Linked DNA regions of Tamandua tetradactyla. The main gene of each other region encodes a partner of the protein of the gene in region 2 in a complex. Links are inferred from orthologs where the notes say so. Each region holds a gene or a part of one and is shown on either strand. Other genes may lie near its edges.

Region 1 (5,428 bases), on a different chromosome or scaffold from region 2:
AACATAAGTGTGCTAAATAAAAGTGTCTGAATTTCAACACCCAAAAACACAACAGTCATCAGGCTAATTTCTTAAGTTGATGGCGCGTCATCAAAGCCACCACCCTTGGAAGACATAAGTTACTCTACCTTTTGAAAAGGACGGGGAGTGAAGTGAAAATGGCCCCAGAGACAACTTCCTGCCCGGGAAGGGCTCGGGCCTTTGGTCCACTTCCGACAACTGGGCCTTGAACCGCCCACAGATAGCACTAAAAAGTTAAAAGCCTAGGGAAGGGGTGTAAAAAAAAAATACCTCCCGCCGCTTGAACGTTTACTTCGGCTCTTCCTTTGCCTTAAGGCGAGCGAGGAGCATCTAACCCTGCTTTTTTCCGGGCCAGTGGGTCCCTCCAGATCTCCCTGCTCAGCCCATAAAGGCTCAAAGGGGACCTGCGGACCAGAAAGTGGCCCAAACCCACCACAAGAACCTGCACCTAGAGTTTCCCGGCCGCCCCCTCCCCCCGGCTCGGGATAATCCGGCAGATCCCCGCGACTACACAGCTTTCTCGACCAAATGATTTTCACCGACTTTATTGGTCCCCGACCCAGGCGGGCCGCTCTAGATGTCCACTAGACCGCGCCGACCCTCCATGACGCCCAGCACATTCAAAGACACTGAGAACGGCTAACAAGGAGGTTCTGGCCGGGGAACCCAGCTAGCCTCGCTTCCAGGGGGCGGCGTTGGGATCATTTGCTCTTCGTCTTCTGACTCTCCGTCTTTTTGGGCAACAACACAGCCTGGATGTTGGGCAGGACGCCGCCCTGAGCGATGGTCACTTTCCCCAGCAGCTTGTTCAGCTCCTCGTCGTTGCGGATGGCGAGCTGCAGGTGGCGAGGGATGATCCTGGTCTTCTTGTTGTCGCGGGCGGCGTTGCCAGCCAATTCCAGGATCTCTGCGGTCAGGTACTCCAACACCGCTGCCAGGTACACCGGCGCCCCGGCGCCCACTCGCTCCGCGTAGTTTCCTTTGCGCAGTAATCTGTGCACTCGACCCACCGGAAACTGCAGGCCCGCGCGTGAGGACCGTGATTTGGCCTTTGCCCGCACTTTGCCGCCCTGCTTCCCACGACCGGACATGCTCGGCTCTCACTCAAGCCTCCAGAGAGGACAAACGACGCAGGACCTGGGTCTCGGCTCGAGAATGCAGCGAGCCACACAGGAACTGCCTCTACCTGTTTGTGTCCACTAAGCAGCGCCTTCCCATTGGACGCCTCAACATCCCTCGGCTCCAGTGACCAATGGCAGGCAGGCTCTGCTCGCAGTTCGCGAGTTAGCAGAGGGACCGCCTTCTCCAGCTTTCTCCAATCAAAAGAGGAAAACTCCTAATCCTCATTTACATAGCCTCTAATATGAATACCGTGGGGTGGCGTTTGGGGACCCGGCTGAATTTAGCCAAGAAAAGTCCTGAGAATTAAGGAAGCATGGTTGGATACGGGAAAACCCACAAGGGGAGCTCCTTCATGCACTAATAACGTAGCGCTGGAGCACGAGATATCCCTAGCAATGGAGGTCGCACCCTGTGCCAGACCTAGCTATGCTCTCTAGGTGGACTTTTTCTCATTTAATACGGCGTCAAAGCAAGGTGCTTTTCTGATTCGAGAGCCGGTGCTTTAAGGGAACGCTGTTCCCCCAAGCGAAATCACAACTTCCCTACCGAATTCTCCAAGCCCAGTACACGCTACGTTGGCTTTTCCTTAAAACAAAGCCACTGCAACCCAGATGCCCCCCTTAGCCAAATGGTGTAGGAAGAATCTGACCACCAGACATTTTAACTACACCGGACGGTACTATATCCCCGCCGCCTCACCCACAGGCTGCCAATCTTCGCCACGAGGCTTCTTAAACAACTAGACATGAATGCTTTCCGCACAAGCGGCAGGAATAAAGCTCGCTTGGCCAGAGTTGAACATTTTTTTTCTTTGAGATTGTATTTTCAGGGAGAGGCCATTGGCGCAGCTCAGTCGCTGAGGCTGAAAGTCTTGGGCTTGGCTTGTGCGGTGGAGGTCGTTGTGCAGTGAATCACATCTCCACGAAGACTATGAAGATGCCCGGGGTATGCTTGTCTGTGAGTGCAGAGGTGGATACGGTTGCCTAAGACCTTCCGATGGCGCTAGGAACTTCTTCCACAGCCCTCTACCGCCCTGTGGCTCTCAGAGGTTGTGAAAACATCAAAGGACTACAGCAGCGGTCCTTATATATCCACGTTGCAGATCCGTAGCATTTGCAACAAAGTTTTTTATTATTACAAATTACTTTCCGGTAATCTTTCGTTTACCTCAGCATTTTCTCCACAATTATATAATTATACTGCTGGCGTGATGTAACGTTAAACATTTACTTATTAAAATATTTTTATCTGGATTACAGTTCCAATTTAAATGAAAAAAAATTACCCTCTCATATCTTAATAAAGGTTTGATTTCATTTAAGTTCAAATTTTCATTTATTTATGTGTAGGTCCTGACTGTTTAACACAATAATTGACCCATAGTAGGATTTATTTAAATGTTTTTGGAGCTAATAAGCAGTATATTGTAATGGTTACGGCGATCAGTCGAGCCAGACTGCCTGGGTTCAAATCCTTCTTCCATCACTTTCTTACCAGCTAATTTCGGATGTTATTTAGCTTGTGTACCTATTCTAAAGTGTTGTATTGAAGATTAAATACATTTGTAAGAATCCAGTAACTGTTGGATATACTGAATAAATGAACATATAAATCTCTGATGCAATTTTTAACAAGATGTTCCTGAAACGAGTTCTGTAAAATGGCTGAAATTTTTACCAAAATCATGGGAAATTCTTAGATTTTTTTTTCATCATTATTTTGAACGCGGTTTTTCTTTTTATTATTGTAAGCAATGCCAATATCTAACTTGAAAATGTTCTTTTAATTTCTTAAAAAGAAGAGTAAAGATAAATAATTAAACCTATTTTACTGTTACAAATCTCTGCAAGGTTTATAGAGAATCGTCTTCTTTTCTCTTTGTTAAGGATTAAAACCATGAAGTACGGTTTGTCTATTCAAGATTTTTTTTTTCTTAGCCATCCAGTCTTCCTTGTGTTCTTTAGATTCATAATGAACACAAATGCACTTTTTGAATTTTGAAGATGGGTAAGGATTGAAGCAAGTGAAAATTATAAATATTTTAAAATGTAATAAAATTTTACCATGACGTTGTCCTTCTGCAAGGGCTCGTCCTTCAAACTTGGAGGCAGGGAGCCCAATTTACTAAAATAGTCCCCGAAATGTTAAGTACTTGGCAAAGTTATGAATCATCCTTTAAATACTGCTACCTTTTAACGTAGTAAAATGTGTGAGGAAGAGTTTTGTCTCGCTTCAAGAGCAGTGATACTTTATTGAAAGCTTAGTTTTCGTTCAGGGATTCTACGAAGAAAGGGGTGAGAGCCTTCTAAAGGGGGTTAAGGCGGGGCTGAGGAGGGAAAGACTACCTATTGAAATAATTCTGATTATCAGATTTATCCTCAGACACGAAAGAATAAATAAATAAATAGCTGTAAAATTATTGCTTTGAGAGCTAATACAATGTAATAAATTTTCTGTTCCTACTTCACATTAGTTCGGGAATGGCATTATGTGAGTAAGCATTCTGTTTGAAAAGCAGAATTAGAGAGTATAGGACTTCTCTTACTGTTTCTTAAGCGTTGAGGAAACGTAATCTAAATTCTATTAGTTTATTTTGCTAAAACTTTTAAATATATCATATTGAATATTTCTTCAAATTTATGGCAAAAGTATTAAAGTTTCTCCCGAAACTGAAAACAAAACAAAAGAAAATCAGTCTTATTTTGCGTGCTTCTTACACAATTTACCGCTGCACAAAAACAAACTCATCAATTCTGAGAAAAAAAGTCTCCGGATGTGAGACCTCAAACTCCGCCCACTTGAGGTTTTCAAACAGGTCCGCAACAAGAGAATAAAGGCCGGGAGCTGGGGCTGGTGGGTCTAGTCGTTACTTTTTCGCTTCGAGATTTCTTTTTGTTGTTGGGTGTGGCTGAGGCTAAGAAGGTTAAGGGTTGCGCGAAGGGGGAGCCGAGTACTATCGGAAGGTTTAGTGGGGTAACAGCCAAGACATTACGAGGCTTGTGATCCGTCGACTTCGCTCGCCGTGAACGTATATCTGGGCTTATCTACGAAGAGACCCAAGCACTCCGAGTCTTTCTGGAAAACGCGGTGACTTAACACTGAACACACCGAACGCAAGGCGATCACAGCCATGTATGTGGTGTACGCTTTAAAACGCACAGGTTCTGGCGGCTGATGTGACCGCGAGTTCTTCATAGAATCCAGAAAGTCCTTTTTAGGGCCCTCAAAACTTGAAAACAAGAGCTGCTAACGTTTTTGTATTAATACACGGGTGTCTGACCTAAACGCAAGATGTACCGTTCTGAATACCATTGGAGATGGCTCTATTTCTGCTGAGGCTTCGAGAATGGAGAGAGTAAAAGGGGAGGTATCCCTGCAGTAGGTCCCAGGCCGGGAATCCCACCGCCACGTGCTTAAGATGTATGTGTCTTGGGAGCTGCGTTGCAGTGCAGTAGAGGCCCCGCTCTTGTGTGTAGTTTTTATTTGCGGGGGTGGGGGTGGGGAGGAACGTTCCTACCCTAGCCTCTCTGAGAGTAATAAGCAGAGTAAGCAGCTGAGCCCTCTGCCTCAGAATACTTATATCGCGACTATTATGCAAATGAAGGGTGTGTTGGAGGGGAGGCCCAAGCTTTGGATGCGGTTCCTCGCCGATCGACCGCAGTGTCTGGCTTATGCCTCAGCGTCTGATAGGAAAGTGTCTCTTCCGGCAAATCAGAACCGTATTTACCTGTTATGGAGAGCAGCTTCGCTAATGTATTGAGAGTGAGAGCTAGGTCCAAACGCTAACAGCGATGCTGCGAAGTGCGAGCGAAGCCCAACCCTAGTCAAACTTCGCGGGCGGGGCAATTCCCCCTGGGCCAGCTGCGCAGAGTGGGTGAACATCTGGGAGCTCGCACTTGGCTGCCGAGATCACGTTGCTGGCTGGCGGGGTCAAGAAAAGCAGGCTGCTCTCCACCTCCAGTTCGGTACTGAGACGGAGCTCAACTAGTTGGTAGGAATCCTCATCCCAAGGTGGGCGTTCTGCTTCACGCCCAGGCGGTGCGGCTAAACCAGAGTAGGGACTAGACTAAAGGGGAAGACTGCGGGAGTCCACTTATATACGGACCGACAGGGGCCGCCAGTGAGACGAGGTGGGAACCCATTCTGGCCTTGTCACCCTGCCCTAAACAAATGAAAAACATCAGCATCATGAATAGACATCAGTCTTTGTGGAGTAGGAGAAAGTACTTAGTAGTGAAATGCCACTAAAGAGGGACAGGAGCCTCCATGACACAAGCAGGGGAGC
Region 2 (7,108 bases):
AGACTCCTAGGGGAGGGGAACTAATAGAGATGACCTCAGATATCCATTCAGGACTAGAATGAGAATCCATCTGGCACAGAGGGAAAAAAAGGTGGCAGACAGGGCAGTATATGGCAAAAAAGGACTAGAGGTGACTCATAACTCAAATAGCAGAGGATCCCTTGCATCCACCAATGTTCCAGTTACAATAATAATTTCCATTAACCTAAAGAGAGCAGTGGTAAAATATAAAAGTAAAATTTTCTTCCTCTCTCTCCCCTCTCCCCCGAGAGCCTAGAAACATTGGAAGTTGCAAGCTCCCTAAATGGAACAAGGTGGTAACGTCACCTCATTCAAAAGACTTGGTATTTACTCAATCTTTTCAAGGCACTTTACCATCATCAATTATTCCTCAGTGAGGCACACAGGATTACCCTGATCATTTCACTGATGCGGAAACAGACACCAACAGCAAAGGGAACAGGGGCAGGAAGAGGGGCGATAGGAAGCATCTGGGAGGAACAGGCAAGCAGCTAAAAAGGAACAAACCCAAAAGAAAATGAGAGTGACATCTGGCTTATAGCTGACCATCATAACCTTTATTTGCTATTTTTAAGTGCAAAGAGATTTTTTTCAGTATTTTGAATAAAAGTGTCCTAAAATATCAGGTAAAAGTCCAGTTCCAGCCTAAAATACTTGGTCATAGAAAGTAAGGTTGCTTAGCATTTGGGGGAAAAAAAAAAAAAGCACTCTCCAGAGCACACACTGATTTCAATTGTGCTAGTAACTCATTTTTTCCCTTTAGGCTAACCAATACGTTATCTATTTGACCCAGAAAATAATCCCTCATACAAATGTATAATTTATATCACACAAAAATTAATATCACACAAGTCAGAAATAATAATTCAGTTGCACCAAGAATTTTGTTTAGAGAATAATGACAAAAGTACTGACTCCCTGAGTTTGCCCTTTAACTAAAAGGAATACTTGTTTCACATTCATACTGATTTTCTTAGCTAGAACCTTGAACTTTTCAGGAATAAACTACTGTTTATTCAGAAAAGTTAAAACACTCCGAAACTAGCACTGTGCCCAGCACTTAGTAGGCTCTGAATAAATGTTCCCTGAACTGAACTCTATTCGATACATAGCATAAGCACTTAATAAAGATGCATGATTGAACAATAAAATCACAAAGACTGACCAACCCCCCTCATGGGAAAAACTGACACAACGTCTTTAAGACTGTCTTCAATGTTCTCTGCACATATTATGGCACTATCACCTTTAAAGGATCTTCACACATGTAGTTCAATTACATTAAATACAACTTCCAAAGCAAATCAAATTCTCTGAGGGAAACACATATACAACCCTTAAGAAGCTTGTAAGGTTGCATGATACTTATGAAGTTTATTCAAAAATTTAAAAGCCATTTTAAATGATGTTTGATTATGTGTTGTTTTCTATCAGACTGTTTTGAAAGTTATGGCTAAAGCTATGGCAAAACCTATACAAGGCATGAGGTGAATGCTCATGATGTACTTCTTTCTCAAAAATCTCAATTGGTCTCATTTACAAAAGCTTATTTTCACATTCTTCTCAACAGACATAGCAAACACAAACAGCCTGAAAGAACATTCATAGTTGGAAATATGTTATTTAGTGAGTAATTAAGAAAAAAAATGGCAAGGAAGGCAAAAATTGTCATTACTAAAGAATATTCGCAAGCACTGCTACGGAAAAATAAATCAAAAGTGTTGTCTATGAATTATTATTATAGTATCTTGTCACTGGAATTTGCACTCCATAAACGACATACATCTTTTTATAATATGGCCCTTTCCCAAAACATAAGCATGAATAAGTCTGGAGACATTAAAAATGCAGCAACATCTAGAGTTGCTTGGGAAAAGAAACTCATCCCCAACAATTTTGTAAATACTATGCTCACAAGCGAGTTACTTACTTCCCTGCCTCAGTTCCACCCCTACTAATCGACCCATTCACTTTCTAGAGATGTTGTCCTAAAGTCACCTTACAAGTAAATCATAAATGTTAATTTTCTAATTCTTCAAAATAGAGGCAAATTTTAAAGTGTAATCATACTTTGTAACGTGACAGATGTTTTGTAACCCATTAAAAGGCTTCAACAGACCTAACTGGGAACTTGAAATTAAAAACCTGTACTGCCCAAACATTAGCAAAAAAAAGCAAACAAGTAAGCTACACAGTTCACCACTCGAAACCTTAAGGCGCAAAATCTATAAAGTTTGCCTACCCGTTCTACCAGTGGCTCTCCATACTAAGGATGAGCACAACCACCAAGCAGGGGGGAAAAGTGAGAAAGGTAAGGAACCATTTCGGGGCTGTTTCTAAATTAGGCAGCGATGGTCCTCAGCCGCTCGCTGTCTAACCGCCAGGGAACGCCGCCGCCGCCGCCGCCACCTCGCGGCTCCTCAGGAGAGTCGGGGCGCCTCGTCACCCCAGCGGGGCGCGCCCTCCCCTCCCGCTTAGCCCCGCGAGTCCGCTGCCCCCCACTTTAGATGCCCCTCACGCGAGGCCTTGCCGCGCCCCTGGCACCGGGATCCGCGCATCCTTCCGAGCTGACGTTTCCCTCCCAAACTCCGAAAGTTTACCTCACAAGTCCCCGGAAGGAGCCCAAGGCGTTCACAATCCAGACCACGCAAAGTCATTCCTGCTCCCCAACCCTGGCGCGCGAAGCTCTCGGGCCGCTCACCGCCGCCCCGGTCCCTACCCGGTCCCAGCCCCCGGGGGGGGGGGGGGGGGCGGATGCGCTACAGGGCGCTGTCCGCGCTGAGGAAAAGGGCGCCGCTTGCGGAGAGCCGCAGGGCTCCCAAACGCCGCGGGCGGCATGGGCCCGCGCCGGGCGACAGGGGCCCCAGGAAAAAAGGAGGGGCGTCGCCAGAGGTGCCTCGGGGTGCCCACGGAGGGCACTACGCGGGGCAGGGAAGCCGCAAAAGTCTCATGGGTGGGAGAAGAGGGCACCGGGCCGAGCTAAAACGAGACCCCCGCGGGGCAATGAGGGGGCGTTCCTCGAGCGGGACGCGCAGCCGAAGTCTCCCCTCCGCCCGCCCACGGTCAACGGCCGGGGGACCGGACGCCACAACTCCGCCTCCCTCCTCCTCACGGAGACCGGAGTCGCCACGCACCTCGGGTCTCGGAGTCCAAAGAAGCGAAATTCTGTCACACTAGTCCCGCGAGCCGGCAACGGACTTCACACCGCCGCCGCCATGTTTGAGAAGCCGCGCGCGAAGCCGCGCATGCCCCGCAACCGCCGCCGCCGCCCCGCCCCCCGGCCGGGCCAGCCCGCGTGCACTGCGGTTGTCGGTAGCACACCTTAGGACCGCCACCGCGTGCTGAGTCGCGAGCCGGAAGCGCTCGGCCGCCAGGCGACTGCTGCAGACGCCCTCGGGTGTCTCGGCGCAGAAGACTGCGAGCCCAGGAAAGCCCTTGTCAGTTCCCCCAGTTCCACGCCCTCCAAAAAATCTAGTTGCTTCCTTGCACCCAAGACTGCCCAAGTTAGACACCGGGGTCCGCGTCAAGTGTCCATCCCGCTTCCCTTCGCCATCGCCTTCATATCCTGGCCACCGCCCATCCTGGCCATGTATCCAAAGAGCAGGCGCTGTCCTAAAACTCCAAATTCGAGGAGCAGGGGAGAAGCAGCTGGTTAAAGCAGCTCAAGTGTTGCTGCATATACCTTGAAACAGCTTTTTTCTCCGTAGTTTTGTTTCACGCATTCCCCTTCTAGTTCCGCTTTCTGGATTTGGTTGTTCCTTTAAACCCAGACTTGAGCTAACATGAACTGCAGATTAATCCTGTGGGGTGGAGGGACATAATTTGCTCACTTACTCGAAAGTGCTCGGGAGCGCCCTCGGGGGTCCGTTTCGGGGTCCCTTTTGCCGGATACCCCTCGCCCAGGTTGCAGCCAATTTCGCAAATGGAGGTCGCACGGGGGGGGGGGGGGTGCTATAAAAATAGCCCTAAAATCGCCCATGAATCTCCCAGGACAAAACGTAGCAAACAGAAAACGCGAGAAAGACATCACATCCCTTGCTGTGAAGTTGGGTATAAGCTGATTTAAAACTTCTGTTTGAAAATAATACAATGTGCTTATGTTAACTGGAAGTAAACCATTGACCAGCCTTCTGTTTCTACAACACTTTTAAAAGCTGGCTGTAGTTTTTGCATCAATGATCACCTTAACTTAGAGGGTATGATGTGCTTTTTAAATCATAATTCAGAAACCAGAGACTAAAATGTAAAAATAAAATAAATAAAACCTCGCAGAACATAGCCAATTTCTACAATACAGAATGAAGTTAGTTATTTCCATACACACCTTTTGCAGTAATAAACAAAAGCAAAATTAAAGGTAGTAGTTTTTTTTATTGTATCTGAACATTGGTGAACTGTGCAAAAGCGAATTGCTCTGATTGTTCTTGAATCCTTCAAAAAATGAATAAATAAATGCTGATGCAAAATTCGAGTAGACTTTAAGGCAAAAATAGAAAAACTAGGCCAATAGTATGCAAATACTAAAAGAGATTTGACCATATCGTCTGTATGATACATACCACATATCAGGGAATGTTGAAATGGTCTAAGATGAAGGTTCAAACTTAAATAAGCAGAAAAACAACTGTTTTAGTGTCCTGGCTGTTAAAACAAATACCATACAATGAGTTGGCTCACAGGTTCAGAGGCTAGAAGGCTTGCTTCCTCCCATGGTTGGTATCTTCTGGCCAGCTGGCAATCTTTGGGGTTCCTTCGCTGTTCTGTCACGTCAGCACACATGGTGGCATCTTCTACTTTCTCTCCCAAATTATATTGACTTCCAGCTTCTAACTGCTCTGTGTCCAATTTTCTTTACTTTATGAGGACTTCACCCATTTTGGATTACAGCCCACCCTCATACAGTTTGGACACACCTCAACTAATAACATCTCAAAAGTCCTATTGACAGATGGGTTCACACCCACAGGACGAGGGCTTGGGACCTGAACATGCCTTTTGTGGGGGACATGATTCAATCCCCAACAGATATCTTCAATAGGAAGAAATTAAGCAGAGGTTTAATGCAAGCAAACCTTTGGTATAGGCAATAGCAGGGCTGGAGAAACTTAAATTATTTATTAGTAGTCACCGTCTTTCTAATCCTAACGCAATGAAAATATTCGAAGTTCATCTCTACATTCTGTATAAGAAAGATTTGGCTTATCGTTTTCATCCCTTTTTATATGTATGTGCCCTTTATTAAATTGTCGGAAAACCTGATTGCTAAATTGCCTGTGCCCCTGTTGCTTCATCTGCTTCCTATATTTCTGTTTTTAAAATTAAATTACTGAAGCCCTTTCTCTAAAAACATATTCTGCCTTATTTTGATAAGAACAATATCTTCTCAGGAACTGTATTCACCAGTGCATTTATTAAAGTGTGACTCTGCTATGTTTAACAGGAAGACATCAACAGTACCACAGCAATACCAGCAGTAAATAATTGGGAGGGGAGGACAAAAGTTAAGGGGAGGTTTCGATTTTGTATTTGGTGAGGGTATGTTCATCATTTATTTTTTCTCTTTGGAGCAATGGAAATTGCCTAAAATTGGAGAGTGTTGATTGTACAACTGAAGATAATGTGAGACAGGGATTGCTTACTTTGGACATTATCCATGATACCCAATGGGTAGAGGTGGCTGAAGGATATATTAACTGAGAAGTACAATAGTGAACTGTATTGTATACATATGATGGAAAATTGTGCAGCTGCAGAAAGGAATGAAGTCGTGAGGCATGCAACAAGGTGAATGAACCTTGAAGACATTATGTGGTGAAAAATAAGCCAGAAACAAAAGAACAAATAGCATATGGTCTCTTTTTAAGAATACTTATAAGAAAATTGGGGCCTAGACTGTAAACTCTTATAGCAGTCACATTTAGTTCAGAGCTGTAAATGTTATTTATAGATTTTGAGATGCTATGCTATATGTGTATAACCTGGTATCACCCTGAAACTCTGGGTACTAAATTCCAACTCTAAGACTCAGAGTTGGAGTTCTGAGCCTCTGAAAGTCAGCATTGCTACATACAACAACTGTTAAAGAAACCGAAAAACAGATTAAAGATAAGAACAAAGCCAATAGGTCAGGACTAAGGAAAATCAGAATACACAGGTAAGGTGACATTGTCTGTATTTTAGAACTTCACCTATTGGATGAGACCAAAGGAAGAGAGGTTTCTTTTGTCCAAAACCTAAGTTTTCTGTAGCACATAATCTAACTCAATCTGTCTGGATAGAACATTTAAACAACCCAAACACATGGGGCTCAGAATGGGAATGAGGGTTTGTAATTCTGTATAGCTTAATGTAATACCCAGATGCATCCCAGGGTATGTTACACAGATAATTAAAAAGTATTGGAAAAGACCCTTGAGGGACTGGAGACAAAATATGGAACTATTAAACTTTCCCACCAGGGAAACCCCTGATATTCTCTCAAACATTAGGGACTCTCAAGTCAATAGGCTAAGCCCTTGATTTTCAGACTTGCTCTTATGAAGCTTATTTCTGTAGTGGAGAAGCTAAGCCTACCTATAGTTATGCCTAAGAGTAACTTCCAGGAAACCTCTTTTGTTGTTCAGATGTGGCATTTTTCTCTCTAAGCCCAACTCTGCAAGGAAAATCATTACCCTTCCCCCTATGTGGGACATGACATCCAAGGATGAACATCTCCCTGGCAAAGTAGGACATGACTCCCAGGAATGAACCTGGCCCTGGTACCCTGGGATCAACAATGTCTTCCTGACCAAAAGGGGGAAAGAAATGTAACAAAATAAGGTATCTGTGGCTAAGAGAGTTCAAATAGAGTCTAGAGACTATTCTGGAGGCACTTTTATGCAAGCTTCAGCTAGATGTTGCTAATTACCATGGTTTGTCAAACCCCAACCAGCACCATTCCTGCTAACCCTAAGCAACACCTAGGGTTCTATCTGATATTCTCCAAAACTTTCACGTGCTAAGATTACTTTCCAGAAAACTACAACCTCCAGTTGGGTTCTTAGGCCAGATAAATCCTGAAATCCAGAGGAGTCAGCCTCTCGAAGAA

What was found.
Region 1: the proteins of SCML2 (region 2) and H2AJ are in contact, whole or in part, in a crystal structure (PDB 4EDU), measured with the Homo sapiens proteins. The link is inferred for Tamandua tetradactyla from reciprocal best matches to the Homo sapiens genes SCML2 and H2AJ. Residues at the interface, in NP_006080.1 of Homo sapiens: Asp182, Asn185, Tyr187, Leu188, Cys190, Phe206, Trp209, Phe213, Pro239, Pro240, Gly241; in NP_808760.1 of Homo sapiens: Leu35, Arg36, Lys37, Gly38.

The regions. Positions count from the first base shown.
Region 1 is NC_135333.1:77,349,793-77,355,220, reverse strand, and holds H2AJ (histone H2A.J), read right to left. Parts: upstream 1,254-5,428; 5' UTR 1,113-1,253; coding exon 723-1,112; 3' UTR 551-722; downstream 1-550. UniProt on the Homo sapiens protein: Core component of nucleosome. Nucleosomes wrap and compact DNA into chromatin, limiting DNA accessibility to the cellular machineries which require DNA as a template.
Region 2 is NC_135353.1:156,474,513-156,481,620, reverse strand, and holds the start of SCML2 (sex comb on midleg-like protein 2), read right to left. Parts: upstream 3,254-7,108; 5' UTR 3,156-3,253; intron 2,378-3,155; exon of another isoform or gene 2,264-2,377; intron 1-2,263. UniProt on the Homo sapiens protein: Putative Polycomb group (PcG) protein. PcG proteins act by forming multiprotein complexes, which are required to maintain the transcriptionally repressive state of homeotic genes throughout development.